Drosophila melanogaster: one gene and its partners. The protein of the gene in region 1 purifies or fractionates together with the protein of each later gene. This does not show direct contact. Each region holds a gene or a part of one and is shown on either strand. Other genes may lie near its edges. The genes, in order: achi, comr and aly.

Region 1 (11,233 bases):
AGAGGCCATCGTCCGGAAATCTGGAGGCGGACGCCAATTGCAATGTGGGAACGCAGCGAAAGGCTGGTAGTACCAGCTTTAGCCAGAACGTGGGTCTTATGTCCAAGGGCATGATGAGTGATCTGAAGGCGCTGCGCTCCCCCCAACTGGGACTGGATATCAGATCCCTGTCGCAGGCGCAGCTGGACAACCTGCTGATGGCCACGTTGGAGATCAAGAACAAGCTGGACTTTCTCTACCTGATACGTCAGTGCATCCGCTGCAACCTGTTGCCCTCCAACGAGGTCTTCGTGTCCTGTCTAAAGTATTTGAGCGCGCAGCGCAAGCTCCAGCAGTTGGAGGCACTGGCGGAGACCTGTCGGCAGCTGGAGCACCCGTTCTCACAGACCTACGCGGATCTGGCGCCCTTCCGCGCCATCGCCCTGTGGAACAATGGTAACGCCGACGTGGCCCTGATGACGCTACATCGCGGTTACGGGGTAAGCATGACTTCGGAGGAGGGCAGGCGGATGGCGCGCTCCGCATTCCGCACCATTTCCGAGGAGACTCTGGCCCAGAAGAGTGAGGCGGTGCTAGTGTCGCTGCTGGAGGTAGCGCGTGCCATTCACCGCGAGCACAAGGACATCTTTGTGGTGGCCTGTGTGTGGAAGCAATGCTTCGCTAGCGATTGGTTTTGCGATCAAAAATCGGCTTCGGAACTGTTTGAGCACTACAAGGAGCTGCAAGAGCTAGTGGAGAGGAGGTAAGTCGCTTTAATTTCTTTAAAAACCCGAAATTTGAATCCCAATGTAACCTTCCTTGCAGAGCCAGTTCTTTGTGCTCTTCATTTCTGGCCCGTAACAATGTTGATGCGGTGCATCGGCTAATCGAGGCGTTCTTGCAGCACCAGCAGCGTTTGGCCTGCTCCAGCTGCCTCAGCTTGCTCTTTAACTATCAATGTGAGTCTGTGCAACACAACCGAATATTATGTAACTCCCGTTTCGTTTTTAGATATGCGCAAGGATCTGCGAGCCTGCGCTGAGATTGTCAAATCCTGCAGTGAATTAGAGATGCCGCTAAATGAGCTGCAGAACGAACAGTTCCTCAGTCTGTTCCTCGACCAGAGCGATCCTGTGGACTCTTCGGGAATGGCCAGCAAGTACAAGGCACCCAAGTCCTTCCAGTACAAGTTCTAGTCCCCAGTTTCCATCGTTAAGCCGTTGTCATCGTAGTTACAGCACAAGTGTTTGCACCATTGAGCAATATTGCAAGCATCCCCATATTGCAAGCCCCCACAAGGAATGTAGTGTCTCTTCAATAAATGTTATTTAATATCCATCTTCAGGTGGCTCCTTCATCCACCATGTTGCCCTCGGGCAGTTGGCCAGGCAAAATGCCGACGCATTCGTAGCAGCGGGATATCAAGTGGTTGCCGCATCGATGTTGCAAGCACTGTTGGCACCGCGTCCGCGATTTAGTGCCACGCTTATTTCGAGCGCAGGGCTTGCACCTGCGATGCTTCTCTCCGTACCGACTAGCCAAATTAATGCCCAAGGGCAGGCTCATCTTGTCGGGTGTTAGCACGCCTACGCTGTGCGTTAGTTTCGCCTCGCCGGTCGCCTCACTGAGCAGCCGCTGACTGGATTGGCCCAGGATTTCGCAGATTTGCAGTCGCATCACGAGCGAAGTGCTGGTGGATCTTCGCTGAAGGCGTCGCTGTAATCTCTGCTGTGTGAGGAAGAGTCCCAACTGTCTCTGGAAGTCGCGCTGATCCATAGCGGCATCGCCTTTGGGCGAAAGTCGTAACAGGATCCATGCATTCACGGCAGCCGCGTTGAGCACAAAGTGAAGTAGTTGCAGAAAAGGATTGATCTGCTTTTTCAAGGGTGCGGGCGTAGCGTGGGCTGTGCTGAAGCGCTGGGAGTGTTCGTAAAACTGCTGACAGGCTTCTGAGGTTTGCTCATATGCCTGGACTGCATCTACTTGGGAGCTAAGACCGCAGCAGAAGACTGCGTCGCCATCGAGCGGAATGAGTTTTGAGCTGCCACCAAACAAGGGTGATTCTGTGGGCCACTGCCGCGGCCAATGTGGCGAATTGGCCTCCAGCTTACCCAACGAGCTTATTTGCCGCTGCGCCAACTGCTCGCACTGCGTCAAGTTTAGATACCGTGATCCCAGCGTTACATTTCTTCCCGTGGTCTTGAAATCGCAGATCAGTTGTTCTACATCCTTGTCCGGACATCTCTGGTTTCTGCTTACCACTGCATTGGCCATGTACAGTGTCCTGGCATCACAGCAGAGGGTCATCCGTGACTTGGCCACCGCGCAGAATGTCTCATCCACGGTCAACCAACTGCTGCAGCCGTAGTAGGATCTGCAATTGATTATAAGGCGCTGCCAGAGCTTTTGGCCCTCGGACCAGCCGCAATTTCCCGCCAGACACTCGGAAATGCTTTCGAATCGAGCGAGCGACATGGATGCTCGGAATATGGCATTGCCCAGCTCCAGGGTCCACAGCTCATCCAATGGCCCATTGTGCCTGGCATTTCGGAACACTCCACAAAGGTAGCTTAGACCCAAGAATGCCCGCAGCTCCACAACGTCTAGGGGTCTCTGGACACTTGTGGCCGTTCTCCGCTTACGCATCTGTTCATTGATATGGCGAAGTAAAGACCGCAGCATTTCATCATCGAAGAGCAGCATCCATGCTTCCACTGCATTGGACACTGTTCGGGCGGGTCCCTTGCCACAGGCCTGTTGCCCCAAAAGGGGTAGATCCTCTGCAGAAATATCTGGGCTCCTGGTCACGCTCCATAGCTGCCCACAAGGAGATGTGTAGTTTCCGTTATTATTTGGTGGACGACCACGTCCTCGCTTCGGGGCAGCTGGCCTGGCGGAATCCTCCTTCTTCAGCACCACGTCAGCCAGTTGGTCCTCGTTCATCAGCATGTCGCTGTCCTCGAAAATCCAGGGAAAATTGCATACTGCTTCCTGTAGCGGATCGGAGTCATCTCCGTTAAAGGAGGCACTTTGGACTGTGGAATCGACCGGCGGCAGCCGCTCCTCCACCTCCATCTTTTCACCATCCTCGTCTTCTTCCTCCTGGTCGCTACATTTAATATTGGCCAGCAGCTCCTCGTCCAGCACGCATTCCATTGTTTGTTTATAAACTTGCAACAAAACAAACCTTTTCAGTCGTCGATAGGTTAGGACAGTAACGTCTATACATATCGATAATTTATATAGTTATCGAAAAAGACATTTAAAACATAAATCTTAAGCTTGAAAGGTTGAAAACTTATAAAAAAAATAGTTTGTTCTATTTAGAAAAAATTATGTACATTCTAAATATAACTTATTTATTTTAAATGTAGATTTAATTTCCAGCGTAGAGATAACTAGTGTATGTTTATAATTCTTAAACAAATTATACTTAACAAAACTTGTATTTATTCTTGGCGCCACTGTTCAAATTTCAAATGAACCTGCCAACTGAACTAACTCCCCAGTGGACCCCCATCCATGATTTATCGCACATAAGCGGCTATCGGATTTCTTTCGCCACTAATTTGTTGTTTGGCACGCAGCAAGGAAAAGGAATAAAACGCTTTAAAACCAGTGCCAAAATAGCTTTCCCCAACGTTCGTTACTATATTTACGTTGTCTGCAAAAAGAGTTTGTCTAATTGGCCTCGATACTACGGTTGTGACGACTGCCCCGTCACTACAGTTTGCTGAGTGCAGTAACCGGGGCCTGGCTGAAACACTGGGAAAACCAGTGTTTAGTGTAAATAAATGATAGTGGCACCCATTCGGACATCGCAGGTGAATCCCCGGGAGCTCAAGACGCCCGTTATTTGGGCGCGCAGTGAATTTGTCAAAATATTTTGGTTAAAGTGTCAATTTGACATGTTATATGTCATGGTCTCTCGTGTGCCAGTGCGATAGTTATCGATAGATAGCCCCAACTTAATTTGTTTTAAATATTTTTAAATTTCTTCTTTACTTAATTCACTACTGTAATACGTTCGTTTAATGTATAGTTCCTTGGAAATTAATCGATTTAGCAAGTAGACCGATTGGAAAGAAATCAAAAATCGATTTGAAATGCGTATTTGAACCTTAGTTGGCCATGACTTTGGTGTCTGAATGACGCCTGCCCTCAGAAAAAGTTAGTTGAATCTCAAAGTCTGTGGTGACAACACCTAAAGAAACTAAAAAGTGACAGGTTTCTCTGTTTGTAAAAAAAAAAAAATTGTAATTAAAGTTCTGTTCTTTTCCTTTCAATATTTGCATACCGTTTCTGGTTGTGTTTTAATGAATTTTCTGTTTTCTGAAGCTTAAGTCTGAGCTGCAATGATCTCGCCGGAACAAGAAGAGGTCAACATGGTCCTGGATCGCCATGTACGGCAGAATATCCAGGACATGATGCACGAGGCTCATGTCCAGGCGAGCCTGCTGGAGAACGAAGGTGAGTTTGCTATATTTCGGTCGAGTTCGGTCTTGTTCATGCCCGTTTTTTTTGCATGTCATCTGCAGGACGCGGCCGTTTCCACTCGGACTCAAGTTTGGACCAGGATTCTCTTCACGCTGACGTCATCGTGGAGGAGGATCAGAGCACCGAACACGGCGCCAACCAGGTGCAAAACTACCACGACATGATGGTGGACAGTGAACACCACATCGACATAAATGGGTCGCTGCGCAAACGTCGTGGAAATCTTCCCAAGACCTCTGTAAAGATTTTAAAGCGTTGGCTTTATGAGCACCGCTATAACGCCTATCCGAGCGATGCGGAGAAGTTCACCCTGTCCCAGGAGGCCAATCTGACGGTGCTCCAAGTGTGCAACTGGTTCATCAATGCCCGTCGCCGCATTCTACCGGAGATGATCAGGCGCGAGGGCAACGATCCTCTGCACTTCACCATATCGCGACGTGGCAAAAAGGTTAGCCCCAACTGTTCGAGATCAAGTGCGTTGGGCGCAAACTTGACTGGGCCGAATCCCGCACACGGAAGTCCTGCTTCCGAAGTGGTGTGTTATCTTCTGGTCAATCATTATACCACTGAAGTTACTAAATTGCTTGACTCCAGGTCGTTGGCGCTACAGAGGAGGTGGATGGCGCCGGTGAGATTCACGAGGGCATCGCCAATGTGCTGACCAACTTTGAACAGTATGTGCAGGGCCCCAACGGACAAATGGTCAAGATGGAGCCGGAGTACGAGGACAGTGTCATCTACAGGTAACTGGTAACCGGTCTTTATGACCTGCTTCCCTAGCGTTAGTCACTTCTATCTCCTATCCCATCCCACCTATGTCCAAACTCCTTTTCCTCTTCCAAGCTGGCAGCAGGCCATTGCAAACAACCCGATGGGCTTTCAAAGTCTTCACTCCTCGCTTCAAGCAACCATGATCGATAAAATTAAAAACTATCAGATGCGCAAGGCTGCCGCCATTGGGGGTTCGGCGGTTGGCTCTGGTGGTGCTGGTGGGTCGAGCTCCAACTCCAGTCCTGCCACATCAATACTGCCATACAGCCTTTTTGGCCAGCTGCCGCCAGAGTTCGATGACGAAGAAAAGCCAAGACCTCCGAAGCGCGTAAGAACGCGGACGGTTGCTGCAAAGAGTCCTAGGGAGAATGCCAAGCAAGCAAAGCAGAAGACTGGGAATAAGCAAGAAACCATGTACTGCTATAAGGATTCATACGGCGGAATCGTGGTGTCTCCTAGGTACAGCTTCTGCTCCCATTGACTGATCCAGAGCCTTAAATCTTACTCAAGTGCGAGTGGCGGTGCTAAGATTTTACTTTTACCCCCAGGTCCGAAGGCGAAGAGAGTGCACAGGGATACGAGTCCTGTGGGCCGAACAGCGAGGAGGAAGTACGCTTCGAGACCTCCCATGATTGGCAGAGCGTTATAAAGTAAGTAGCTATGTGGATGTATTAAGAAAATATTGTAATCTCGGCCTCTGCAATTCCAGAACTGTATTTGGTACTGAGGAAGTCAGCACTTCGGCTGGCAATAATCCAGGTACCTCTGGTTCTAAGGGATCTGTTCAGAATACCGCCATCTGGAATCGCAATCAGACTGCGAAGCGTGACGGTGAGTGAAGTTTGCAGACTTAGAGCTCGGTTTCTTTGGTAATATCCAACTCTTTTACTCCTAAAGTGAATCAACAGTTGACTGACTTTGAAAGCGAGCTGAATAGAATACAGGCCTCAGAAATCCAGACAATCGATCCTACCAACTCCAATCAACAGGACATTGGTGACAATCTACAGGCGGACGAGGTGTTTACCGGTGCCGAAGCAGAAGCTGGCCAGAGTCAATTATCTGCTATGTCGCAGGGTAACCTATACCTATTTTTATCAACTTTATATTGAATTTTTAATTATTTTATAATCTTGCTTTAGGCACAAGTCCAGATGAGCGTGCCAAGTACAAGTGTCTCTATTATCTAGTGGAAACTGCCATGGCTGTGCGCCAAAACGATGACGTCCAGGATGACGATTTCGTTTACATGGGAGACTAGAGCCTCAAACCAAATACCCACGCTACAGATCCCGACTTCCCAAAGTGCCGAAGCGTGTATATACAAATATGTATATATAGATATATATATATACTTAAGTAATTTAATCGAACAGCACTAGACCCAAAAATTTGTCTATAACCCCCATGTTATTGTGTTAATTGAGTAGGTTACTAACATAACGTACAAAGCTATAGATCAATTCGCAATGCGACCGCCCAAATACCTTTTTCCACAAAGTCAATTCACAAACAAATCGACTTAGTTTTGGACCTGACTCTTTTAAACTTAACATGTACACTACTGATACTTAAATAAAACATAAACAAGCATTTGAAATACACATTGCCATAAAATGATGGTGTGTTTTATCTAATTGGCTGATAGAGCCATTTTTTTAAGGTATCTAGTAATTATGTACACATACATACATAAAATGAGAACGTTTGTGGAAGGACAAAATTAATTTTGTTATAAATATTATAAATGTATTGGAATACTTTGGTTACCACAGATAATAAAGAGTGGCGCAAAAACAAAATGATTCGATTTTTAACTATAAAGCTATAGAACAAAAAAAAAGAATGATATATTCGAGTTCCCCGGCTATCAGATACCCGGTACATATATGTGAAAATGTGAACAAGAAATTTCATAATTTTTCTGGGGTATTGATAGATAATTCGGAAAAAAGAAATATCCAAAAATTTTCAAAAATGAGGGCGTGAGTTTTGCGCTGTTTTAGGGCGTTACAGTGGGCGTGGCAAAAAGTTTTCATTTTTCAAAAGTGTGGGAGTGGCATTTTGTACGGTTTGAAAGCGTTGGAGTGGACGTGGCAAAATAGGTCCACAAACTTGTGATAGTTCCTGACTTCATACGAACGGACAGTCAGACGGACGGACGGACAGGTCGACTCGGGTATTGATCCTGATCAAGAATATATGTGTTTTATATGGTCGGAGAAGCTTCCCTCTGCTATTACATACTTTATAACGAATCTAGTATACCTTTTTACTCTACGAGTAACGGGTATAACAAGTGACGATCGCACCTCCAACATACAAATCTTCTGAAATCAAAATGATATTACATTTGACCAAATAAATGCGCTTGTCTAAATTTTACAAATCAAAATTTTTATAAATTTTGGATAAGGTAAAAAGTACATTTCGAGACGCCCGTTACTTGGGCGCGCAGTGAATTTGTCTAAATATTCATGGTCTCTCGTGTGCAAGCGCAATGTTTGTGCGATAGTTATCGATAGTTGGCCCTAACTTAATTAATTTTAAATATTTATAAAATTCTCCTGTACTTAATTACTTACTTTAATACGTTCGATACAAGCAGACCGATTGAAAAGAACCATTTTTAAAAATCAATTGAAAAAATTTGTTTTTGAACCCTAGTTGGCCATGACTTTGGTGTCTGAATGACTTGCCTGCCCTCGGGAAAAGTTAGTTGAATCTCAAAGTCTGTGGTGACAACACCTAAAGAAACTAAAAAGTGTCAATTTTCTCTGTTTGCAAAAATTGTAATTAAAGTTACTGTGCTTTTCCTTTCAATATTTGCACACCGATTCTGGTTGTGTTTTAATGAATTTTCTGTTTTCTGAAGCTTAAGTCTGAGCTGCAATGATCTCGCCGGAACAAGAGGAGGTCAACATGGTCCTGGATCGCCATGTACGGCAGAACATAAAGGACCTGATGCACGAGGCTCATGTCCATGCGAGCCTGCTGAACAACGAGGGTGAGTTTCCTATATCCCGGTTGAGATCAGTCTTGTTTATGGCCGTTTTTTTCTCCAGGACGTGACCGTTTCCACTCGGACTCCAGTTTGGACCAGGATTCCCTTCACGCCGTCGTTGGGAATGATCTGAGCACCGAACAAGGCGCCAACCAGGTGCAAAACTACCACGACATGATGGTGGACAGTGAACACCACGTCGACATTAATGGGTCGCTGCGCAAACGTCGCGGAAATCTGCCCAAGTCATCTGTAAAGATTTTAAAGCGTTGGCTTTATGAGCACCGCTATAACGCCTATCCGAGCGATGCGGAGAAGTTCACCCTGTCCCAGGAGGCCAATCTGACGGTGCTCCAAGTGTGCAACTGGTTCATCAATGCCCGTCGCCGCATTCTACCCGAGATGATCAGGCGCGAGGGCAACGATCCTCTGCACTTCACCATATCGCGACGTGGCAAAAAGGTTAGCCCCAACTGTTCGAGATCAAGTGCGTTGGGCGCAAACTTGACTGGGCCGAATCCCGCACACGGAAGTCCTGCTTCCGAAGTGGTGTGTTATCTTCTGGTCAATCATTATACCACTGAAGTTACTAAATTGCTTGACTCCAGGTCGTTGGCGCTACAGAGGAGGTGGATGGCGCCGGTGAGATTCACGAGGGCATCGCCAATGTGCTGACCAACTTTGAACAGTATGTGCAGGGCCCCAACGGACAAATGGTCAAGATGGAGCCGGAGTACGAGGACAGTGTCATCTACAGGTAACTGGTAACCGGTCTTTATGACCTGCTTCCCTAGCGTTAGTCACTTCTATCTCCTATCCCATCCCACCTACGTCCAAACTCCTTTTCCTCTTCCAAGCTGGCAGCAGGCCATTGCAAACAACCCGATGGGCTTTCAAAGTCTTCACTCCTCGCTTCAAGCAACCATGATCGATAAAATTAAAAACTATCAGATGCGCAAGGCTGCCGCCATTGGGGGTTCGGCGGTTGGCTCTGGTGGTGCTGGTGGGTCGAGCTCCAACTCCAGTCCTGCCACATCCATACTGCCATACAGCCTTTTTGGCCAGCTGCCGCCAGAGTTCGATGACGAAGAAAAGCCAAGACCTCCGAAGCGCGTAAGAACGCGGACGGTTGCTGCAAAGAGTCCTAGGGAGAATGCCAAGCAAGCAAAGCAGAAGACTGGGAATAAGCAAGAAACCATGTACTGCTATAAGGATTCATACGGCGGAATCGTGGTGTCTCCTAGGTACAGCTTCTGCTCCCATTGACTGATCCAGAGCCTTAAATCTTACTCAAGTGCGACTGGCGGTGCTAAGATTTTACTTTTACCCCCAGGTCCGAAGGCGAAGAGAGTGCACAGGGATACGAGTCCTGTGGGCCGAACAGCGAGGAGGAAGTACGCTTCGAGACCTCCCATGATTGGCAGAGCGTTATAAAGTAAGTAGCTATGTGGATGTATTAAGAAAATATTGTAATCTCGGCCTCTGCAATTCCAGAACTGTATTTGGGACTGAGGAAGTCAGCACTTCGGCTGGCAATAATCCAGGTACCTCTGGTTCTAAGGCATCTGTTCAGAATACCGCCATCTGGAATCGCAATCAGACTGCGAAGCGTGACGGTGAGTGAAGTTTGCAGACTTAGAGCTCGGTTTCTTTGGTAATATCCAACTCTTTTACTCCTAAAGTGAATCAACAGTTGACAGACTTTGAAAGCGAGCTGAATATAATACAGGCCTCAGAAATCCAGACAATCGATCCTACCAACTCCAATCAACAGGACATTGGTGACAATCTACAGGCGGACGAGGTGTTTACCGGTGCCGAAGCAGAAGCTGGCCAGAGTCAATTATCTGCTCTATCGCAGGGTAACCTATACCTGTTTTTATTCAACTTTTTAATTATTTTATAACATTTTTATAATTTTATTTTAAAATCTCGCTTAGGCACCAGTTCAGATGAGGAGGGCAAGTACAAGTGTCTCTATTATCTAGTGGAAACTGCCATGGCTGTGCGCCAAAACGATGACGTCCAGGATGACGATTTCGTTTACATGGGAGACTAGAGCCTCAAACCAAATACCCACGCAACAGATCCAGACTTCTCAAAGTGCCGAAGCGTGTATATACAAATATGTATATATATATATATATATATATATATATATATATATATATATATATTTAAGTAATTTAATCCAACAGCACTAGACCCATAAATTTGTCTCTAACCCATGTTATTGTGTTAATTAGGTAAGGTTAGTAACATAATGTACAAAGCAATCAATTCGCAATGCGACCGCCCAAATACCTTTTCCACCAAGTCAATTCAGAAACAAATCGACTTAGTTTTGGACCTGCCTCTTTTAAACTTAACATTGTGTACACTACTGATACTTAAATAAAACAAAAACAAGCATTTGAAATACACATTGCCATAAAATGTTGCTGTGTTTTATCTAATTATTAATATTTTGATAAATTTTGGATAAGTTTAAGAAAAAAGTTTTAAACCGCTTTTACAACGTAAATCATTAAATTGCCATTCTATAGATGTTTTCCCCAAACAATTGTTCTTTCCTAAATTGGTACAGTTAATGTTTCATTTATACAATTATGCTTTGAAAACATATTTCGAATTAAGTATCAAAGCATTTTCCTGAATGATGGTTAGTGGCCTTCGGAGGGTGTCTGATTCGTCACTACGTAAACTATTTATGGTGGTCTAGCGTGTTACAAGCTCTGCGAGTGGAGATACTCTTCAAAGAGTAGGAGCCGATTTTTCAATTGCATGTTTGGTATAATTTCTTGATATGCTTTCGTACATTGTTGCATTTTTATTTATTTATATCCATTAATACCAATTTGACGCACATTCTTATATTTACCTTCATTTGACGTCCCAGTATGTTTTGGTATTTCCCAGTATAATATTCGGTTGTATATACCGTCCCGTTTTCGGTATTTTTCATATGACTAAGATGGTATT
Region 2 (9,796 bases), 9.4 Mb from region 1:
GCACCCACTTTTAACTAATTTATGCAAAGTGCACACAAATTTGCAACCAAGCAGCACATCGATCAAAAGTTGCTCACCAACTTTTTGGCTAGATTTTAGCAAATGTTGCATAAAGTACTTGGAAAACGCTCAGCTCATATCCCGGGGAGCACATCCATATCCATAACCACATCCTTAACTGCAGCCATTGGCAAATAAAAAAGCAATTTAAAACTGGGTTACAACACTTGAAGGCAAGCTATTTGGATCCTTTTACCTTTTTGGTGAAAAGTTTGCCAAGCAGATGGAACGAGGCCATATCTCATACATATAAATCCCGATTTGCTGGCGAATATTTTGTGCAATTTTGATTGTTATGCATTTTGCATTTGTGCAATCATAAAATAACTCCCTACCTGCTAGCAAAAATGGGAAGAAAGCCCAAGGACACGCCAAACTCACAGGAGCAAGTTTCACTGCATTTGGTGGCTAGTTCTACAGTCCGTATATAGCTTATTTACAAAGTTGGATTTGAAAAAGGCATACAGATAAGCGCAAAGTTTTTAACAAATGTACAACAAATTATTTACTCAGGGGAACTGGTAAATTGAGTTTCGATTTGTTGGTAATTGAGAGTTAAGGTTAGTAAGTTTGCACTACCAAAAAGAAAAGTTCTGAATTTGAATTCCAATTGAAGAAACTTTTAAAATTAGTAAATCCTAAAACGCTTTTGATTAAGAGTAATGGCCAATCAGTGATGATATTAGTGGAAAGTTTTTTAGGATATAATAACTCTTAAATGCCATTGTTTTTATGATTCCACTTTATTAGATCCGTAACTATATGGCCCACAGTCAACACCTCGTTTCCTTTGGCATTTTCCCACCACAAGACAAATTGCCAAACCTTATAGAGGAGATACATTCGTATTTGCCCCCATAAAGCATAGAGATACATATGTAAATAGTTTTACCGCCGCTTTGAATCATTAAAAATCTTTACGACTCCGTATTAAAGTCAGACAAAAAACGGGAAAAATACGAGAGGGAAGAGAGAAATACGAACAGTAAAGAAAACATTAATGCCTTGCCAATAAATTTGTCTCCCCAGCAGAAACTCGTAAAGATTTCCTACTCAAGCCCATAAAGCAGTCTCAAAAAAAAAAGTTTGTGAGCCTCAGAAGTTAAAGTACTGCCGACCTGCGTGGATTTCCAGCTAAACGACAAATAACTTGGCATTTAATAACTCTGCATTCGGAGGGCATTTCGACTTACCCCCCCCAAACTTCTTTGCCCCACCCCCACCTATCTGACTTCATTATAATGCAGCAAAAGTCCCGACTTTATTCCTGTTTCCATAATTTAATACTGGCGCGCTTTGTCGCAAACCGAATTTATGTGTTGAAACTAAAGCTGAGATTGTGGCCTTTGGACCGAAAAGGTGTGTGTGGATTGCATTAAATTGGTGCGTGAGAAGAAAAGAATCAACGAAATATTTGGATTAAAAACGATTCTAAAGCATCTATATATTCAAATCCCTACCCTGTAGCCCAAAATACAATATTTTCAATGTTAAGTTTACAAGTTCAAGCTACATGCATAGTTCAGTGATAATTTATTTGCCACGAACCAACTTTATGGATGTATTTTCCTAGGCACACGCTACACACACCCCCTACTATCGAATATCCCTGCTGTTTAGATCATCATTTAAACATCAAATTTAATAATCAGCCTGTCATGTTTATAATTGTGACTCTTGGGGGAAGGGATGGGAGTATGGCAGCCTGGTCCACTCGGCTCCTCGATGGGCAATCATGGCAAAAGCCACCGAAATGGAGAAGCAGAAACATTTCTCAGAAGGCAAAACATGACACATCTCATTATGAGGACTCCCAAAAGAACTCAACCGCAGAATCCCTCGCCTTCTCGCAGTTCGTGTGCTGCTGTCAGAGCATTTTGTTTATGATTTTGTAGCTGTCATAAAGTTATTAAAAGTATGTGACATTTTTATGACATTATGACGTCTTGACTCAAGGTTTCTCCTCTTTTGCCAACCGAAAAATCTGTTTTGGGATTTTTCGGAGGAGCGGAGCCGGCAAATAAGAGGATACCGGCTTTTGTTTTCAACGCTCCAGAGTTCTGCGAGTGGGACCAAACCGATTTGATCCGTCCGGCTGTCTTGAAATATGATATCAAATAAAAAGCAAATTAAAGACGATAAAAATCGTGTCTCGGCTCACGCTGAGTTATATATATAAAAAAAAAGCGCTTATTTTTTGCGCCTCTTGCAAATGCGGTGCGAGGTACACCACAAATCCGAAATCCCTTCGAAATCAAGTATCGTTTAAGTTTCGCTTTGGTTCTGGTTTTGGTTTTGGTTTCGTTTTCGGTTGCCTGTTGTTCATCTTGTTATTTGGTGGCTCATAAAACTTGTAAACATCCGACTGATTGTGCCCCTGTCTGGTTTTTTCCTTTATTTTCTGGTTATACGTTTTCGGTTTTTGTGAGTTCGTGTGGGTGCTGGCCCTCGGTTCGAATTGGTAAGATATTTCCAGATGATATTACACTTTTGATTGGCCTCGGTAATGGGGCACTGAGGGCGTGAGAGATCAAAGAGCGATAAGCGATTTAATTGCCCATATGTCCAAACTTATTGCCTTCGAAGAAGACCAACAAAAGCTATAATGAAAGGTTTAGATATGCCCAATGGAAGATGGTTAAAGGAATGGGCCTAAAGTTGAATAAACAAAAGATATGGCAGAGGTGAATGGTCCGAAGATGCGTACCGTAAGTTTTAAATAAAATCCTCTTTAAAGTTACTAAATAACGTTTAATTGTTTGGTGCACAAATCCACACAGTCAAGTATTTGATTTAACAAATAATAACTCCTAGTTGCCTTAGATATACCATACAATTCCAATGAGTGGCAGACTCAACGAGGATTTCGCTTGGAGTTGCGTAGATCATAGCGTCGGCTTTTTGGCGGTTCAGGAGGGTTCCTGTACTGCAAATTTTTGTAAACATAATCCTCGTCATCCTCGTCGAAGTAATCCTCTTCCTCGTCGTCGTCGTCATCATCCAGGTCATCGTATTGCGAATCCTGCACCTTGGTTTCGGTCGTTTCTTCTATGACTTGCTCCTCGAAATCAGTTCCTTCTTCAAGAGTATAGGAGATATTTTCGTCACTAGGCTTTAACTTAACGTTCTTTGGGTTTCTAGACTTAAAACCTTCATACACTTCGTCTGGCTTGAAATCTTCGCATTCGCTGGAACTGGAATGTACGGGTTTAGCTTGGCGTTTCGTGGGTTTGGCTTTGGTTTTGGCTCTTGGTTTGGGCTTTGCTTTAAACCTGGTGCTGGTCTGTGGAAGTTCCTCCTCTTCGTTAAGATTAGAACCGCCGCACAATTCCTGCATAGCCTGCTCCAAGTCCGAGTCCTCCACTACCTTGCGACCTGTAGATTTCATCTTCGCCGCCGCTGAGGTGGATGGCATGAAGTCCAAGTCGAGGTCCGATGAAATCGGTGGCAGGGCATCGTCTTCATCATCCGAGTAATTCATGCCGATTGGCAGATTCTGCTGGAAACCAATGGACTTATTGGTGGCATCCATAACTATTTCCTTGTAGCCGGTGATTTTGCTACCATAGCGCGGCAGATATTCGGAGAAGAACTCGTTGACTTTGAATAGCTCGACCTGGCCATAATAACCGGCATAATCGGGAGCTTGGCCAATTCCGATATTAATCACAGATTCGTGCGGCTTTACGAATTTCTCAAAGGAAACTTTACTGGGCGCTAAGTCTACGGGGGCGTTATTGATAGACGAACGCCCCCTCTTCACATTCAGTTGCGTCATAATGTTCTTGTTGAACATATCGTGATTGTTGCGATCCTTAAGGACACCCAGATCGGCTTGATATCCTAGCAGAGTTTGGAAATGACATCGAGCCACTTGCAGAGCAGAACGGGATGTGTAGGGAGTGGAGCAGAGATCTCCTCGCCGTACCATCCTGGAAATATGGGCATAGTTCGGGAGGTGCAGAGGTGGTCGTCGCGGCTCCGCCGTTCCCGGGCTTGAAATTTCAGGTATTTTCTCACATTCCTGAGCCAGTTTATGCAATTTGAGTAACTGACCCTTAACGAAATTTGGATTCCGATAGATCAGCGTGATGTTGGTGGCTGAGGATTTACGCACATCCTTCAATGAAACGCGTTCGAATCCGTGGGCCAATAGAGTGCCCGTAAATTGCAATGTATTTCGACAATGAAACATGGAACACCCGCTGGACAAATGCTCCTGCATACCCTGGTAATCGACCTCCAGTTCGCGGCCATTTGCCGACCACTTGAGGTAGTGAATGGAGCTATTATCGGTGGCCAGGAACAGTTTCACGACGAATGCATAATGGAGTAGAGGATGGCTTTTTGGCGTTTCCGGGATATGGATACCCAATTGTCGGTAAATCCGCCTGTGATTCTCCGCTGCCTTCTTATTGATGTCGGAAACAGGTTTAACTGCCAGATCGAGGGGCTCCTTCTGCAAAGGATTTCTTTCGAAATCTTCCAGCGGATCCTCGGAGTCCACAAAATCCAGAAACTCGGGGCTATCCGCTGGCGTCCTGGACTCCTGCTGTTCCAACTCATTTGTCCAACTTGTTGCTGCGTCTTCTTCATATTCATCACCACTTTCATTGACCTGCTGTGACTGGCCCAAAGTGTCTTGGTTCCCCGACATTATCCTTTTGTATTTACAAACTTCGATGACTTTTTAGTTCTCAAACAAATATTCGGGCAAACGAGCAAGCCGGAAAAATATGAGGACTGACAAACGAAATGTTGGCCCACTTTAAGGGTTGCCCTGCTGTTGTTTTCCATTCGGAAAAAGTGTTGCTAAGTTTTTCTGTTATCCTTTACAGTTTCTATCGATGATTTTTAAGAAAACACACTCTCATCGGTGTACTTTAAGCAGTCACACTTAATGTTCAAAACTTCTTTTTTTTACATGTTAAATAAGCCTTGCATTCCACTATTATTATTCTGCTGCCAAAAATTCTTATTGATAAATTAAAGTTACACAATTTAGCTTTAGTGAAAGAGTAGACAGGCGAAAACCAAACAAAGCTCCTTTCATTTTATTTGAATGCACTTCATGTTTTGTTTGCAATAAATCTATTGTTATTTATAACCCCAAAACCCCCAGTTTTAACCCTCCCATTTGTTTCCAAGGGCGGCAAAGTTCAAAAAGGAAAGTAAGGGAAGCCTTTCAATTGGGGATTCATGGGCTATATCAACAATAATGCAGACCAAAGCCGAGACAACAAAAAGCCGCCAACACTGGCACTCAACTGGTCTATAACCAGTCAATGAGAAAGAGAGGGTGACACTGTGCCGAAAGAGATAGCTTTAAATTGACATTCATATGAATATTTAATACACATCCTTTAATCACGAATCATCCATGGCGAACACCCCCCCAATTATTCTGACTGATGCACGATATTTGGATGAACAAACTGCTGAGTTTTTGGCACAGGCGAAAAAAATCGGACTGACAAGAATTTTATGCAATAATCTCACGTGTCACCAGGAGTAAATTAAAAAAATGTCGTCAGCTGCTTGAATCTATTGAATATTATAATACCCTGCTCTTTATAGCTTCTTTAGTTATTGGTAAATTACTGATGTGAATAGTTCGTCTAGTGAATATAATTATGCATTTCATTGCTCAATTTCTTTGGCGAATATTTCCGCCAATTTTATTGTTCTTTTATTACACTAGTTGTAATGTTTACAGTCCGAATTTGATGACAAAGTTGTAATTTCCGAGCGAAAATCATAGGGCAGCCCATGAAAAGCTGCATAACAAGAACAACGGCTGTATATGACGAATAAATTTACAAGTCCAGTTGGAAAAAAATAGTATACCAGCACGCACGTGATTTTGACAATGAAACCCCTTTCAATTTTTTCATTGCTTCCTATTTTTTGTTGCTCTTTCTTTTGGCGGAACGAAAAAGTTTCTTTTGTTGTACATTTTTTACGATCTGATTTAGTCGTGTGACGGAAGCCCTATATGAATTCATAAAAAGCACTACATAAGTTTCGGTTTCAGTTTAATTTTACGGGTAGAGAGCTAGAGGTCTTTATTTACTCCTTATCTGGGGACAACTATTGTTCAACTATATATGGAGATCTCCCATCTCGTTCGTCTAAAAAATATTTTATAAAATGTTGAAAACGTTATAAAACATAAAAGTAGGAATGCCGCCGCCGTAGTGTTGTTTTGTTTTTGTTTAATGCGTGTCAAGTGGTCGTAGATTATGCATTTTTATGGTTTATGGGGCGCTACTCCATCGGTTTTCCTTTTAGACTATTGTTTTCCAAGCAATTAAAGATGAAGACGACTGAGCACGACCTTCTAGCCCCGAATTTTTCCAGCTGTTTTCCGCCCTTTCGCTATCTGAATTGCATTTTTACGATCCCGATTCCAGTTTCGATTATATTTCCTTATTCTAGAGTGAGTCACTGCAGCAAGTGATACGCTCTATAAGATTCTCGTGGTTTAGTGACTCATGTGAAGACAATGGAGCTCCAATCCATCAATCATTTCACTTGCCAGAAGGCAAACCTTGGGGTCTCATTGAACTTATTTCTCTCTGCTCTTCGCTTTCTTCGCCTTGAGGTTAAGCTAATTAAAATAAATGAATATATTTCATAATTTTACGAACTGCATATTAAGGGCCAAAGTTTGGTGGACTTTGACAATTAGCGGCTAAAATATCACTTTGCCATATAGCATGCAGAAAAATCATTTTTCAAAACACAATGCATATTAATGATCGTATCGTTTTCTTGAGAAATGCCACAATTAAACATATTGAAAGAGTTTACAATTTAGTTCATTAAGCAAGGGATTTCTTGGAATATGGGATTTTGAAATGTGCAGGCAATGCTCATAAAATCTTATACTCTTAAAAATTGTATATATTTATTATATTAATAAATTTAAATTGTATATAATTTCCTAGAACACAACCAGTTCGAATGCAAATGTATTTTCACAATGTATCTGACGACCTTATCTACAATCTCGCACCCATGTAGACTGTGACTAATTGAATGCCCATTTCTCCCGCTTTTGCTTTTGCTCTAAAAAATCCATTCCCGTTAAGACTGGAAGGCAATTCCCGGTTTTGGTAATTTGATATTTTCGATGTCCACAAATTTTTCACTAAATATGTTTAAACTCATTTCCCCTTTTGGTATCGCTTTCACCCCTCGTATCTGTAGATACTTATTCCATTCCCTTTTTGTTCTTTGTCTTCTGGTTGCACTGTTTTGTCTAATGAAGCGTTTAAACTCCTGTTCGTTGATGATAATTAACACAACTCCATTTCTGAAGAGTACTGTAAAAAAGGGGATCTCATTAACCCTTGACATTTGTCACACGAACGCGGGGGAATTTCGTTTTGCTTTTTTGACGAGATGAAGGAGTTTTCGAGTGGGTTCCAAGTTTGAATTGAAGTTTCGGGCTCCTTTTGTCTGCTGTACAAGTCAATCTACGTGACATCCTTTTCGTCCTTACTTTTTTACTCCTTTTTCGCTAAACGAAATTGTTGAAACAGATGTCAAATTGTTGTGCATTTTGTATGTTTTTGTTGCCTTTTTCCTATTGTATTTGTTTTCATTTCCATCGCGGTGGTGGCCCCTTTTGTTTTCGTTTGTTTTGGTTCATTGACTTTGCGCGGTTTCGAATTTCTGTGAAATACTCAAAACCCCATCCCCAGCAACTCCTACTCCTTCAGGGTTCCTCAATCGATTTGCAGTCCTCGCAAAGGGCAACTTGATATGTCCTCACTTTATTTTCGAAGGGAGTCACGGGAGTGCCGAAAGTAAAGGGAGCAACACATGTGTCTTCTACATTTGGAGATCCTAAGATAATGCAATCTAGAGTTATGAGCTGGCCTAGTCGAGTTGCCACGCGGAGTCGTATATTTATAACCATGAAGATATGCTTCTTTAAGTAGATCTAAAGTGCATATACACAAAGGCCATTGCGTTTAGAATTTATTTGTGGTTAGCATGGTCCGTAAATTTTTAAAGGTTCTCTGGGGGAATGAAATATTATGGAACAAAAGTTGTTGAATGAATATTATTGGTTCCATATAGTTTGCATTTTATTAAAATTTTCTAAGGTAAAACTAATTGTAAGTTTTACTTAATGCAACAACCCATGTTTTAAGTCTTATGTCTATTTCTATTCCACACCTTTCTGAAATAAAGAAGACGCAAGAAAGACAACCGAAGACATGCAGAAAGTGCGAAAAATCATTTTGTGATAAATAATACAACTTCATCAGCGAAAAACGAACCCCCAAAAGCGAGGTTCCTCGCCCTCGAGAGGACTACCCCCCTCACCACCCTCCAAAAGTCTTCGTCTTCGGAGCGTGAGGCGTGCATAAGTGAAATGTGCACAAGATACAAGATACAAAGATACATTCGAGACAACACCGAACCGAGCAGCCAAAAAGGTAATTAATCATCGTCATGGGGCGTGTGCACGATTCGCTTAACGTGCGCCTTTGGCAGTGGTTCCCCCGCCCCATTCCCTTGTTCCACCCAAAAAGGGGGGGGGATGGCCAGGGGCTCACGGAGGGGCAGGGACGCTGACTGAGGGTCACAGTTTGGTCTGTGCAGAGTCAGACAAACATATTACTCAGGGCATTTCCATATGGTCTACTTGAAGTGTACACCTAAAGATCTTAGCTGGTGTTCCTATGATATATTCATTTAATATTGTACATTAAGTTTGGGAGATTATATAATATATTTAAAACAAATTTTATGTACTACTAATTTTAACTTATTAACTTAACTTAGTGAATGTAAAAAACATGATATAAAATTTGCCATACTTCAGCTACTTTCAATTGATTTTTCCTTAACATAAGTATTGTTGTAAAAGCAAATAAGCATTTTTTTTTCTCTGTAGCTTCATCTCCTTCAGCTGCGAACAAGGGGGCGTCGTGTGGGGGGCGTGGCATGGCGTGGCAATAATCATAACGAGGCAAATTAATGCGTTTCATTCTACATCAAGCAGAATTCCCGTGCACTTTTTTTTTGCCCACCCTTCTTGGGCGACACATTTGCTGATTTAGCAAATATGGGGAGTTGGTAGATACTTTTCCCCTTAGATATATATTTATGTTTATTCCAACCCCCAGAGTATCTAATACATTCTAAGCGTGTGTGTGGCGCCCACTTATTAATTTGCGAGTTTTTAAATTTTTAATTGATTGTGTGGATGATTTCAGCGATTCTGCGAGCGATTTCATTTGGTCATCAGGGCGTTGCAAACTGGATTTATTTAGCTAATTGGATGCTTCTTAATTAATGGGTGCCGTTGGCTCGCCGCATAGATTTAAAGGTGGTGTTACTTACTTTTGAAAAACTTTATGCAGCAGGTAGTTACCGAAATATTTATGTTTGTGAAAAAGCGGAAAAAAGATTCTCTGCTTAAAATGCTGTTATCAGGGCTCTTAACATTCTCTGTTAAATGCGCTACCTGTGGCCGCTTTATAAATTCACTTGGATCGAAAAAAATCCACGTGCTTATCAGACAATGCTACAGAATTTATTGAAATAAACAAAAAACAGCTGTTGGTGGTGCAGCAGCAACAACAACACGGCCTTTTAAATTCTATCCTCTCTGCCACTTATCGCATGCGACTTTCCAAGCAAATGCTCCATAAAACCGAGAGAGCAAAACCGGTTGGTCCGCTGTTATATTGTTGAATGTTAACCGATTGGCTCC
Region 3 (10,276 bases), on another chromosome or scaffold:
ATTATAGTCAATATTTGTTTCTGGTTTGGTTTAATCAGGTGCTTAGCAATGCTTCTATAATAAACTAACTAAAATGTATTGTGTTTAATTTTAGTTCAGTATTTCAAGTTGATTTAAATTTACAAAGGCATTACATTTTCTTGGTTACTTTGTTACTTATGTACATGTTTACTTGTTAAAAACTGAAACCTTCAATTAAAAACATAACCAGTCATGCGGACTGATTCCTCTCGGGAGATTTTCTCTGTTTTAGCCACATAAGCACTCTGTTTAATTGGCTCTGCAGCTAAGTAAAGGACGTCCAGAAATAAAACGGGTATCCCCAGGATTGGCCAATATTCTGTCCGTCACGTTTTCGCGTCTATGTGACCACATTCCGCAATCGAAATCGCAGGAGCAGCAGCATTTTTGGCCAACTGGCTCAGCAGTCGTGCAGTGCGATGCGAAAGAAATGTTTATAATTCAACGGAAATGCTCGGCGAGAAAGCCTCACAAAAAACCACCCACAATGGCTGCCTTTTACATCCACTACTCTTCGTATATATTGTATATATATGCTATATATGACGATTGTTGCGCTTTCTTGTCGGATGGAAAAACATGGCAAATGCCTTATTGCCGTTGTGCACAAATCCCCACCGGACTTGAGTGGAATTGACTTTAAGATTTCAAGCTGCTGGCTGTAGCTGAATGCCAGGAATAGAACCCACTTATCACTTGAGAACCAGGAACCCGGCGATATGAGAGCCCCTTGGGTATGCAAATGGGAAGTGGGATCCATTTTGGTGGACGTCTTAGTCTTTCTTAACTTCCGTGACATAAATCCGGTAGCCCCTGCTCAACTACAAATGCGGCCACAGAAATAGGTTTATGGATAAGTTTAAGAGTTCTAGAAATATGATATAAATTGAAATCTTTTTTGGAGTTTCAAGTAAGACTTAAAATTATAAATGATATCATAAAAGCTATAATAATAATAATAATTATCTATTTTTAGTAGTATGCTGTATTGTGAATAGCTTACCGCATTTGCTAGTCCAAAAATAAAGTCGGCTGGGGAACATGATGCCACCATCCGTCATCTGGATATCCCGGTGACAGGCGAAAATCGGGTGGAATCACTAAGCTGATTTACTCCAAGTCGAGCGGAGAACACTGAAAGTTCGCGGCGAAAGGCGGGAACTGAAATGGAAAAAGAAACAACGGCGGTGTCAATGACTGGGTCCTGAGATCCAGAATCTTGAGTCCTGAGTTCTGGGCACTGAGCCCAGAACCATCAGCACCTTCCCTTTCTCCTTTCTGACTAATGAAAGTGGACAGGGGCGGCAGAAGAAGCGCTTAAGTCAATTTGAGTTTGACTCGGGGAGCGAAAGCAGCCAGGACATCGCAGGATGTCTCAGAATCACCGAGGACATCGAAGAGCGGCAAAGTTCAGCTGGCCAGGCGCGTGTTTCCGCTTAAAAGTTTTCTGTTTTTCCAGTTGCTGTCGTCAGCAATCGAGGCGCCCCAAATCCTCGACAGATTGTTGTTACTGCCATCGCTGTGGTGTTGGCTAATTGCGATTTAATGACGATGACAATTTGATAAGAGGATTTGCTGCATTGTCCATCCGCCGCGTTGTCTCTGTGGCATCTACCGAATGGATCGGCCAATTGAATCAGCCATTTCGATGGTACACTGCGAAAAAGACCACAGCAGTGTCAATATTTATCATCGTTCTTTCCAAACTATGGGCATACTCTGAAACTGCACATCAGTAATTTGTCTTAATGTTTTTCTAGAGTTCTAATTAACTTGGCTTATTGAAACGCATAGAAATTGTTTCCTGTGCATCACGGAGACAATGCAATCACATGAGCATTTTACGGGCCGGCGAACCAAAAGAAATCTGCGATAAAAAGCCAATGTCAGCCGCAGCAGGAGGAGCAGGAGTCCAAGTCAAAGGCGCCTTGCCGCAGACAATGGCTGTAAAATAACTGGAAAAATTGAACATGAATTGAAATAAAAGCGATAGTAATTGAAATTGAAAACCCGAAGAAATTCGGTGCACGAAATCATTGTCATTTGTGGGGAAAATTGTACGAGATATTGAAATGTGTCATCCAAAAAGTGGAGCTTTAAGCATAATTTAAGTTTTTAAACGAATAATATTCAATCTGTTTACTCAGGGCAGTTAGTATTTGTTTAAAGGAAACCTTCTTCTTAGACACGTTAAAGCTATAAACATTTGGAATTTCCCTATCCTATTGCCATAATCAAAAACAAGGTAATATTTCAATAGTATTAATTTTTTATTTACAAAATTTTTCTGCTTTTCATTGCGGGTTGTTCAACATTTCCCACAGGTTCAAATGTTGTTTCACTTTGATGTGGGTAGCAGTCGCATATATTTATAATTATTATTGGCATTTCCAAGGGTCGAATTCGACCCTTTTTTGTGGCCTTATGATAGCGGTCGAAAGCACGCTCCTTGTCAAATGATTTTTCATAAAGAAAAATAACCGAATAAAAACCGAAAATTGATTCAACTGTCGCTTTCGCGCTTTCAATTAATGCGACAAATGTGTGAGTATATGGCATAAATATAAAGAAGCTTTGTTCCTTTTTGCAAGTCTGCTTTTTGTTTTTGTTGGCCAATACGTGACTTTACCCAGAAAGTCATTGACTTTCACAGACTCCCCCGAGTGGCTTTGTTATGTCCGCTCTAAAATCGTGCTTTAAAGACCGAACTCTCGAATCAATTAATGCGCTCCATGGCCATGAAAGTGGCGAGTGGCGATAAGCCAGCTCCAACCCATGTGGCCCCCCAACTGGGAGCTGGCGATACAAACTGCTTCAATTTTAATGTCCTCAAACTGTCATAAACTGTAAATGCACAGTAAAAGCCATGAGTATAAGGCGGGCAAGCTGCGACAGATTCTGTCGTGTAGATGGCCAAGAAGCTAAAGCTGTCAGCTCAAGAGTTTAAGTTCGACAAGCTGGTGAAACTATTGTATCTTACACTGAAGTCCGATTTTCACTTAAATATTATATGTACTTCGTTTATTTAAACCTAATATAAAAGTGGGAAATTAATTGCCCCACTAAGTGTTAATCCTTTTCATACTAACGCTGTATACCTTTTGACACCTTCATGGTTGACTTCTGATTCACATACGCCCATTTAAAACACCCCTCACTCTTTGAACTCGATTTTTTAGGTTCACTGAGCAAACCTTTTTTTTTAACACGCTTGCGTGTGCCGTTCAACATTTAGCCAGTTTTTTGGGCCAGTGCAAAGACGACCCGCAGGCTGAAAGCCAACATTCGCTATACAGGGTACAATATAGCCGCATGAGAATACCCATTCATATGTATATGTATGTATGTATGAATGAAGTCGTGCACATGAGTAACCCGTTGGCACGACCTATCATCGCCCATTCCGCTGGCTAAGGCCTCCTGGCTGGGCGATGGGCGGTGGGTGGTAGGTGGGCGTGGCACGTGTCGCCTGCAGCTTTCATTAGTTCAATGTCAATGTTTTGTTTTGTGATCCTGGAACACAAAAACTGAAGAACATGGGAACCATCCAGCTGTCTGCCTTGGGTTTTTAATTTTAAGCGCATGTTGCTGGCCTCCAGCCAGCCACCTGCATCACCTTTGCCTGTCTGCTGATTAAGTGAGTACAAGCTGCAGGTGTCCTGCATTAGGACATCCCGCTGCTCCTTCGAGGCGAAAGGAATGCAAATTAAAACTGGTATCTCTTCCTTCTGTCACCGATTCTGCGGAAGCTCTGTGTGCACAGCAAATTGAATGAGGTGCACAGACGGCAATCGATATCTCGATGGAGGAAGTAATCTTTAAGTTCCTTTAAGTCTGAATATCTGGATATCCAATTTCCTTTTTCCCAGAAAACGACCGCAACACATGTCGAAAGTTTGCGGGCACAAACCATTGGCATACACTGAGGTGTATTTATAATTTAATTTAATTTAATTTAGAATTCCGTTTTATATAATTAAATATGGAATTTGGATGTTAAAACAAGTGTGTGTTTCAGCGTTTCTAACTAAATACTCTCGGAATTTCATTAGCAATTCTCTTGTCTTTGTACCCTTTTTTTTTGCAGTGCACAGGCGTACTTACCACATCACAGACATGGAAATTAGGCCAAAAGTGCGCAGGCAATAATGCTGAAATCCATTTACGTAATTCGAAATCCGCTGGCGGCGTTTTAGCCACGACAACAGTCGTATGCAAACTTTATTAATTACGCGCCCCGATGACCATTACCACCATATCGACCATCTACTATTGACCATGAAGCCATTCTTGCAGTCCGGCGAAACTTTGGCTGTTTACTATTTTGCTAGGCTGAGTTTCGGCCACCCATTGTTGTGTTGCGCAATTGGCACCAGCTATGAAAATCACGCAAAAGTTTTTCAAATTAAAAATTCAACAGATTTCACTCGGAAAATCAACAACCCTGGAAAGCGGCATATAACAAAAAACAAAATCAATGAATTAAAAAAAAAAAATTACATAATTCGATTGAGCCTGCTGTTCATAAAAAATATTGATACTGTTTATTAAAATCCATGTAAGACTTTAGTTGTTTTAATTTAATTTATCAGAACTGTTACTTTAATAATGACTTTAGTTAGTACCTTAGAAAATATGGCAACCCTTGACAGAATTGAAATATGTTGGCAACCCAAGTTTGGAGGCCATATGTCAAATGGCGTGAGACTTTTAACAAAAAAAACATTTGGTTCAGAAAAACTTCGCTTAAATTACTAAAGAAAAACTTAGTAGACCATTTCAGCATGTCAGTTGATCCACTATCAATCGATAATTTCACAATCCAATCTGAGATCTGCGAAGAAAACGAGTTTCTGGCAAATATAGGATTACTATCTACGACAACGTAATATTTTCTCCTTTTCTATCAAATATTAAAATAGAACTATAACTGTGCTACCATCCGTAGAATGTCGCGTCATCAATTGAAGAAACCCAGAAAGATGGTGGCGGCATGGCAAAACGATGAATTATTTATTAAACGCCCAAATTTCGCCCCGCGTATTAGGATTTCCGAAAAGCCAGAGATCCAGGGAAGAATTAAACCAGGCGTGGCGTCCAAAAGGACTGAGAACTTTACAAAGAAGCCGTCCAATATATCTGTAGATGTTTCGGAGGACGAGAAAGCGAAGGAAAAGGAAAAGGAGCAGGATCCCTACTCCAATGACTTTATACTTGGCAAGAGGTTCGTAATGGGAAAGATTCCCTAGAGATCCCTTTAAGTGCTTAATTGTTCATTCTCCTTTAGATTGTACAATTTCCTGAAGTATCTCAGCTCTCACCGTTGGATTTGGTGTGAGTTCGTCGACTCCTTCCTGGACAAGCCGACCCTGACCATGGGCTACGATATGAAGCGCTTCATAGCGGAGTACTGTCCGCTCCTGCACTCTTGCTTCATGCCCCGCAGAGGATGGCAATTGGTACGTCGGAATATGGGGAAGGCGCGTCGATTTTCGGCCGCCTTCATCGAGCTGGAACGCGAAGAATTGGAGTGCCAGCGCCGCATTGTGCGCCAGTTGCAGCAGCATAAGTTCAATCCCAAGGAGAACGTGGGCTACTTGGACCAGATACCCAAGCGTGTGCCCCTGCCACTGGCCAAGGATGCCACGGTCAGCAGTTTTCTGCACGGAAACTCCTTTGAGGGCATCGTCAATGGCACTGTCATGGGCTACGATCCGCAGGACTACACCTATCTGGTTCGATTCAATAGAAACGACAATGCAGTCGTGCTCAGTCTTCCGGATTCACAGCTCTATTCCGACGAGGAAACCGCGGCGGTTCCCTTGTCAATTATTATGCGCGGCAACAAATCGTCCTCGGTTATTTCGGAGAGCGCCAAGACCGAGAAGTTCGGAAACAAGAGGTACACCAAGGAACTTCTGGAATCAGTGCTAAGGGTTGGTAAACTACAGGATGTCAAGCACAAGATCCTCATGGACTTGGCCCGAATGAATGAGGATTTCGAGACATTCAAGGAGATTGGTTCTTCAAGTAGTCGTCGCGATGCCAAGGTCACACCTCAGCGTGAGAATCTCCAGCGTCGCTATTCGGCCAGCATGATAACGCTGCACCGAGTGAACGCTGATATCCTTGAACCGCTGCGCATCCTGCACGACTACCTGGTCGAGTATCAGAAGCAGGACGAGGAGGAGGAGTCCAAAAGAGGTCGTCCCGCCAGCGAAGTCTATCAGAAGTGTCGCATGCAGGCGGAACAGGACCTCAAGACTGCCGCGGATGAGAAATTCCTGAAGATAGAATCGGATCGCACGCAGGAGTTCGTCCGCAACCTTCACACCATACTGTATCTCAATGGAAAGCTGGGGCGCGAGAACAGCTCCAATTTGGAGACGATTATCGCTGATCTGGTTACCCACATGGTGGACAACATCCAGCCATCGCTGGGCCGGAAATTAAAAGATGGCGTCGATTCCCTGGAGCCTCTGCGTCAGCAGGTGGTGCAAATATTTAAAGACGTCAAAAAACCAGAGCGCTTCCAAATCACCCAGCAGGCTCCGATGCAAACCGAGGATGGTATCTACAACTTTGTGGTCGAGGCACAGCCGGATACTCCCAGCTAAACACACTACCTACTGGCCCTTTGGAATACTGAAATAAAGCCTCGCTCTTATTTATGGCTCAATTAGGAGGAGTGTCATGTGCATTGGGAGTTTGCCGGCAGAGGAGCTTAACGAAGTTTCTTGTGGCTGCTACCTTGTAGAGCTCTTTTGGTACTTACGCGAAGGGGTAGTTGGGGGGGGGGGGTACGTGGTTCTAGGATTTATTTCAAGTTTCCAGTGGCACGTTCCACAGGAAGTCAGCCGTAAAACAGTTGACAGATTGGCAACCAAATAAGTAATGCGTATGTGAACGAAAACTTTAAGGGGGCACTCAAAAAAGGATAATCACTGGGGAATGTTTGCTTTTTCTAAAGGGCCTGTAAATGTGTTACAACTTTGATGATAGAAAGTGTAGTTTATTAAATACTTAAAAATGATTAAGAAAAACTCTTACTATAACTCTCTAAGTACTAATAAACCCTGCAAAAAGGAGGTATGGAAATTTTCTCTTTTTTTGAGGCTAAATTTTGTGCAGCAATGTTGCATCCCCACATAAATCAGCATTTACGAGTAAAGTGTTTTCTATTTTTTAATTACTAGATGGATGCACTACGCTCGTAAATTGTGCGGGTGAGCCAGTTCCGCCGGGGAATTTGCCAACGCCCATGTGGCCGCCATAAAGACATCATTAATATGCCTCCGGATGCACTGCGTCGCTCTGTCCCCCGGGAGGAGAAACGATCGGCAAAGGAGCTGATGGCGTGTGTCCTGCGGGAATGGACTCTGGCCATTTTGCTCCCCCGGATGTGTCGTCGTCATCGACTAAGATGTGCGTATCCTCCACGGAATCCACCCGAGCGGGCGGCTCGTAAATATTTATAATACGTTGAAGCTGCAGGGGCGGCGAATCCGGCTATAAATTTATCGAGTGCAACATTTTTTCCACTATATGTTACAACTGTGGTAAAGACTCTGGTTGAGGATGCATTCAAAATTAAATGTTTTATTCGTATTCCTGATTAGAATGACCAGTCAAGTCAATGTGATAGTAATTTTTTTTCGCAGTGCCTTGCAGTACTTGTGCTCACAAGAATATGGCTGTAATGAAATATATATTTAGGCATTAACTTGATTAATGTATTTATTTTGAACGTTTCAATAGCCTCGCAAACTTGAAGAACACTTGAAGAACAAAAAAATCGACAGACGTGGTAGTTTGACATCAAGGATCCCCCAGCCAGGATAAACAAACGTAACAAATGGCAGCAAATAAATGTGGGCAGGCCAAGTTTATACGGTCAAGTATCCGCGTGGACCAACTCGTGTTGTGAAAGTTGTGAATGTTGGTTGGCTACTCGTGCTAAATGTAATTCAATACACCGCCTTACATAATGCATTCGAGATGACTAAAGTTTTTTTTATTCCGTTGACACTTGATCATTAATTATATTTGCGCGTGGCGGGGCATCGTTTATATGAAATTGAATCAATACATAACAGCTTAAGTGGCAACACATATATAATCGCATATCCACATGCCAGCAAAGCAATCGCCTAAGACTGGCAACCTAATTGATTAACGACTCTGCAAGGCTGCGGATGTGCGGATGTGGGCGCGGATGTGGGTTGGATTAATCCAAATACCAAGGAAACTTTCGCCACAAGCCGCTCAATTTGCTTTATTAAATTGTCATCTATGGCTGGCCTTTGGCTTTGCTTAAGTCATACCAGGCCGAAAATTTGGGTCAGCAATTGCGAGATGATTAGAAAGCCCTTGGGCGGAGTGTAAGTGGGCGTGGCACTCTTGGCATGACTCTTTTTTTTGTTGTTTGTTGCCAAGCGCTTATCATTTATCGCAATGAGTTTCTGACGATATTTTTCGGAAACTCGACAGGGGTACACGTTAACTAATAGATTCAGCTTTATTTTAGGACTAGAATAGTAACAATCAACTGAAATGTTTTATTATTATTACATATGTACATATATGGAATGATCTATATAATTTAATATTTATCATGTCAAAAACACAATAATAAAACTGTTACTTTTTATAGCTGCTCATATTATGCAAAGAGCTTTTGAATCTCATCCCAAATGCTGAACATACATATCCAAATGCATATTTAATGTTTAACTTAAAGGAAACCATTTCTGTAGCATACTTCTTTGGGCGCACTGATTTTAATCAGCTTAATGGCATGGTTGCGTAATTGGTTAATTTGATATTGATGGTTGGCAATTGCTGTCGGTTACATAATAAATATAAAATTAATATTCCTTTCTCTTGGGAGATGTAGGCGCATGTGTAAGTTTCGGTTAAGGGCCGTAAATCAGAGCGCGGCAATGTAAAACTCCACTCGAAATGGAAATTGAAGACTCAATTAAAATAAGGCGCCACAATTTATAGCACAAATGAATAACATTTTATTTACTGAAGTAAATAAATCAAGTTAAATTTTAAAACTATATATGAATACTATAGTTTTCCTTCCAACTAGGTTGTATATATTTCACAGTGTACTTGTGAGTGTTTTACTCAGATGTGTGTGTGTGTGTTCCGAATGATTTATGAAATGGACAGCAGTTTGTGGCGGCAGTCGGTGGACTGAGGTCAGCGGGATACAAAATGCAAATGTGCAGCAAAAACGAAATGAAAGCGAAAATAAACACAACAGCTAAAGTAACAGTAAACAGTGGAAAAACTAAGGGAAAAACGATGGCAAAAACAAAAGCACAGCCTGCGGCTTGTATTCCGTAAAAGCGGAAATAATGGCTTAAGTTTGCTTACGCTTCTGCTTACGTTATAAATTACAATGATTGACGTCGCGTGTGGCGGGCTCCACAGCTTTAATTATGCCTGAATTATTACGATACTATTTATTTTGAGCGTTGAATCGATATGGGAAAATAAATTTATCGCTATCATCGCTTTGCTTTAAGCTCTCACGGATCGGTTCTTCGTCAAATTCCGCCCAAAAAAATCACACGTTTAAAGTAATAGCTTTTTTTTTTTTACAGCCGATAACCTAACTAAAAATCCCATCACTTTCACTTCAACTTTCGAGAAAAATTTTGTTTTTGCAAATTTTCTCATTTTTGATAAGGGATACATTATTTCAAAAAATTTTCTAAATATATAATCTCCAGCTTGGGATGCCATTTGATTGAACATCCAAATACGAACAATATTTGGATAATTTTTTGCATTTCTATGGACAAAACTTGACCTGAGCCTTGCCACCCACATGCGATGTACGGCAATCACATATTGACAGAACCAGGCATTCACAGATGTACAAAAACCGAGAGCAATTAGAAGGCATCATGGCAAGCCCACAGCCTCGAGTGGTTCCTTTCTTTTTTGTGGAAAGCCAATGGGTTGTGACACATATTGCTGGGCGTAATTGGAAACCAGCAGGTCAGAATGAAGCTTCAAGTTCCAGAACTTAAAGTTTCCGAAAGTGCTTCGAAAATACTGTGAAAAACACAGTAAAGCAGCAGCTATTTGATTATTATTTGTATTTAATAAAAACACTTTCATCCCATTAGTAGATGTCATGTTTACTCTCCTGTGCTATCTTATTTAATGCCATCGACTTTTGCTGACCTCGATTAATTTAAGAAGTGGACACCTATCAAGTCCTGAAATTTCAACA

What was found.
Region 2: the proteins of achi (region 1) and comr purify together in Drosophila melanogaster (affinity purification with western blotting, with the first as the bait; one study listed by BioGRID). This does not show direct contact.
Region 3: the proteins of achi (region 1) and aly purify together in Drosophila melanogaster (affinity purification with western blotting, with the first as the bait; one study listed by BioGRID). This does not show direct contact.

The regions. Positions count from the first base shown.
Region 1 is NT_033778.4:12,507,346-12,518,578, reverse strand, and holds achi (achintya), read left to right. Parts: upstream 1-3,516; 5' UTR 3,517-3,803; intron 3,804-4,180; exon of another isoform or gene 4,181-4,235; intron 4,236-4,317; 5' UTR 4,318-4,334; coding exon 4,335-4,449; intron 4,450-4,517; coding exon 4,518-5,011; intron 5,012-5,070; coding exon 5,071-5,219; intron 5,220-5,319; coding exon 5,320-5,706; intron 5,707-5,795; coding exon 5,796-5,897; intron 5,898-5,956; coding exon 5,957-6,078; intron 6,079-6,144; coding exon 6,145-6,324; intron 6,325-6,389; coding exon 6,390-6,508; 3' UTR 6,509-7,045; downstream 7,046-11,233. Other genes in the region: CG8818 (uncharacterized protein), read left to right, coding at 1-742, 805-938, 991-1,175; CG13151 (uncharacterized protein), read right to left, coding at 1,321-3,135; vis (vismay), read left to right, coding at 8,140-8,254, 8,313-8,713, 8,860-9,008, 9,109-9,495, 9,585-9,686, 9,746-9,867, 9,934-10,113, 10,192-10,310.
Region 2 is NT_033778.4:21,862,077-21,871,872, forward strand, and holds comr (cookie monster), read right to left. Parts: upstream 4,784-9,796; 5' UTR 4,718-4,783; coding exon 2,915-4,717; 3' UTR 2,794-2,914; downstream 1-2,793.
Region 3 is NT_037436.4:3,020,954-3,031,229, reverse strand, and holds aly (always early), read left to right. Parts: upstream 1-4,708; 5' UTR 4,709-4,805; coding exon 4,806-4,906; intron 4,907-4,969; coding exon 4,970-5,245; intron 5,246-5,308; coding exon 5,309-6,638; 3' UTR 6,639-7,101; downstream 7,102-10,276.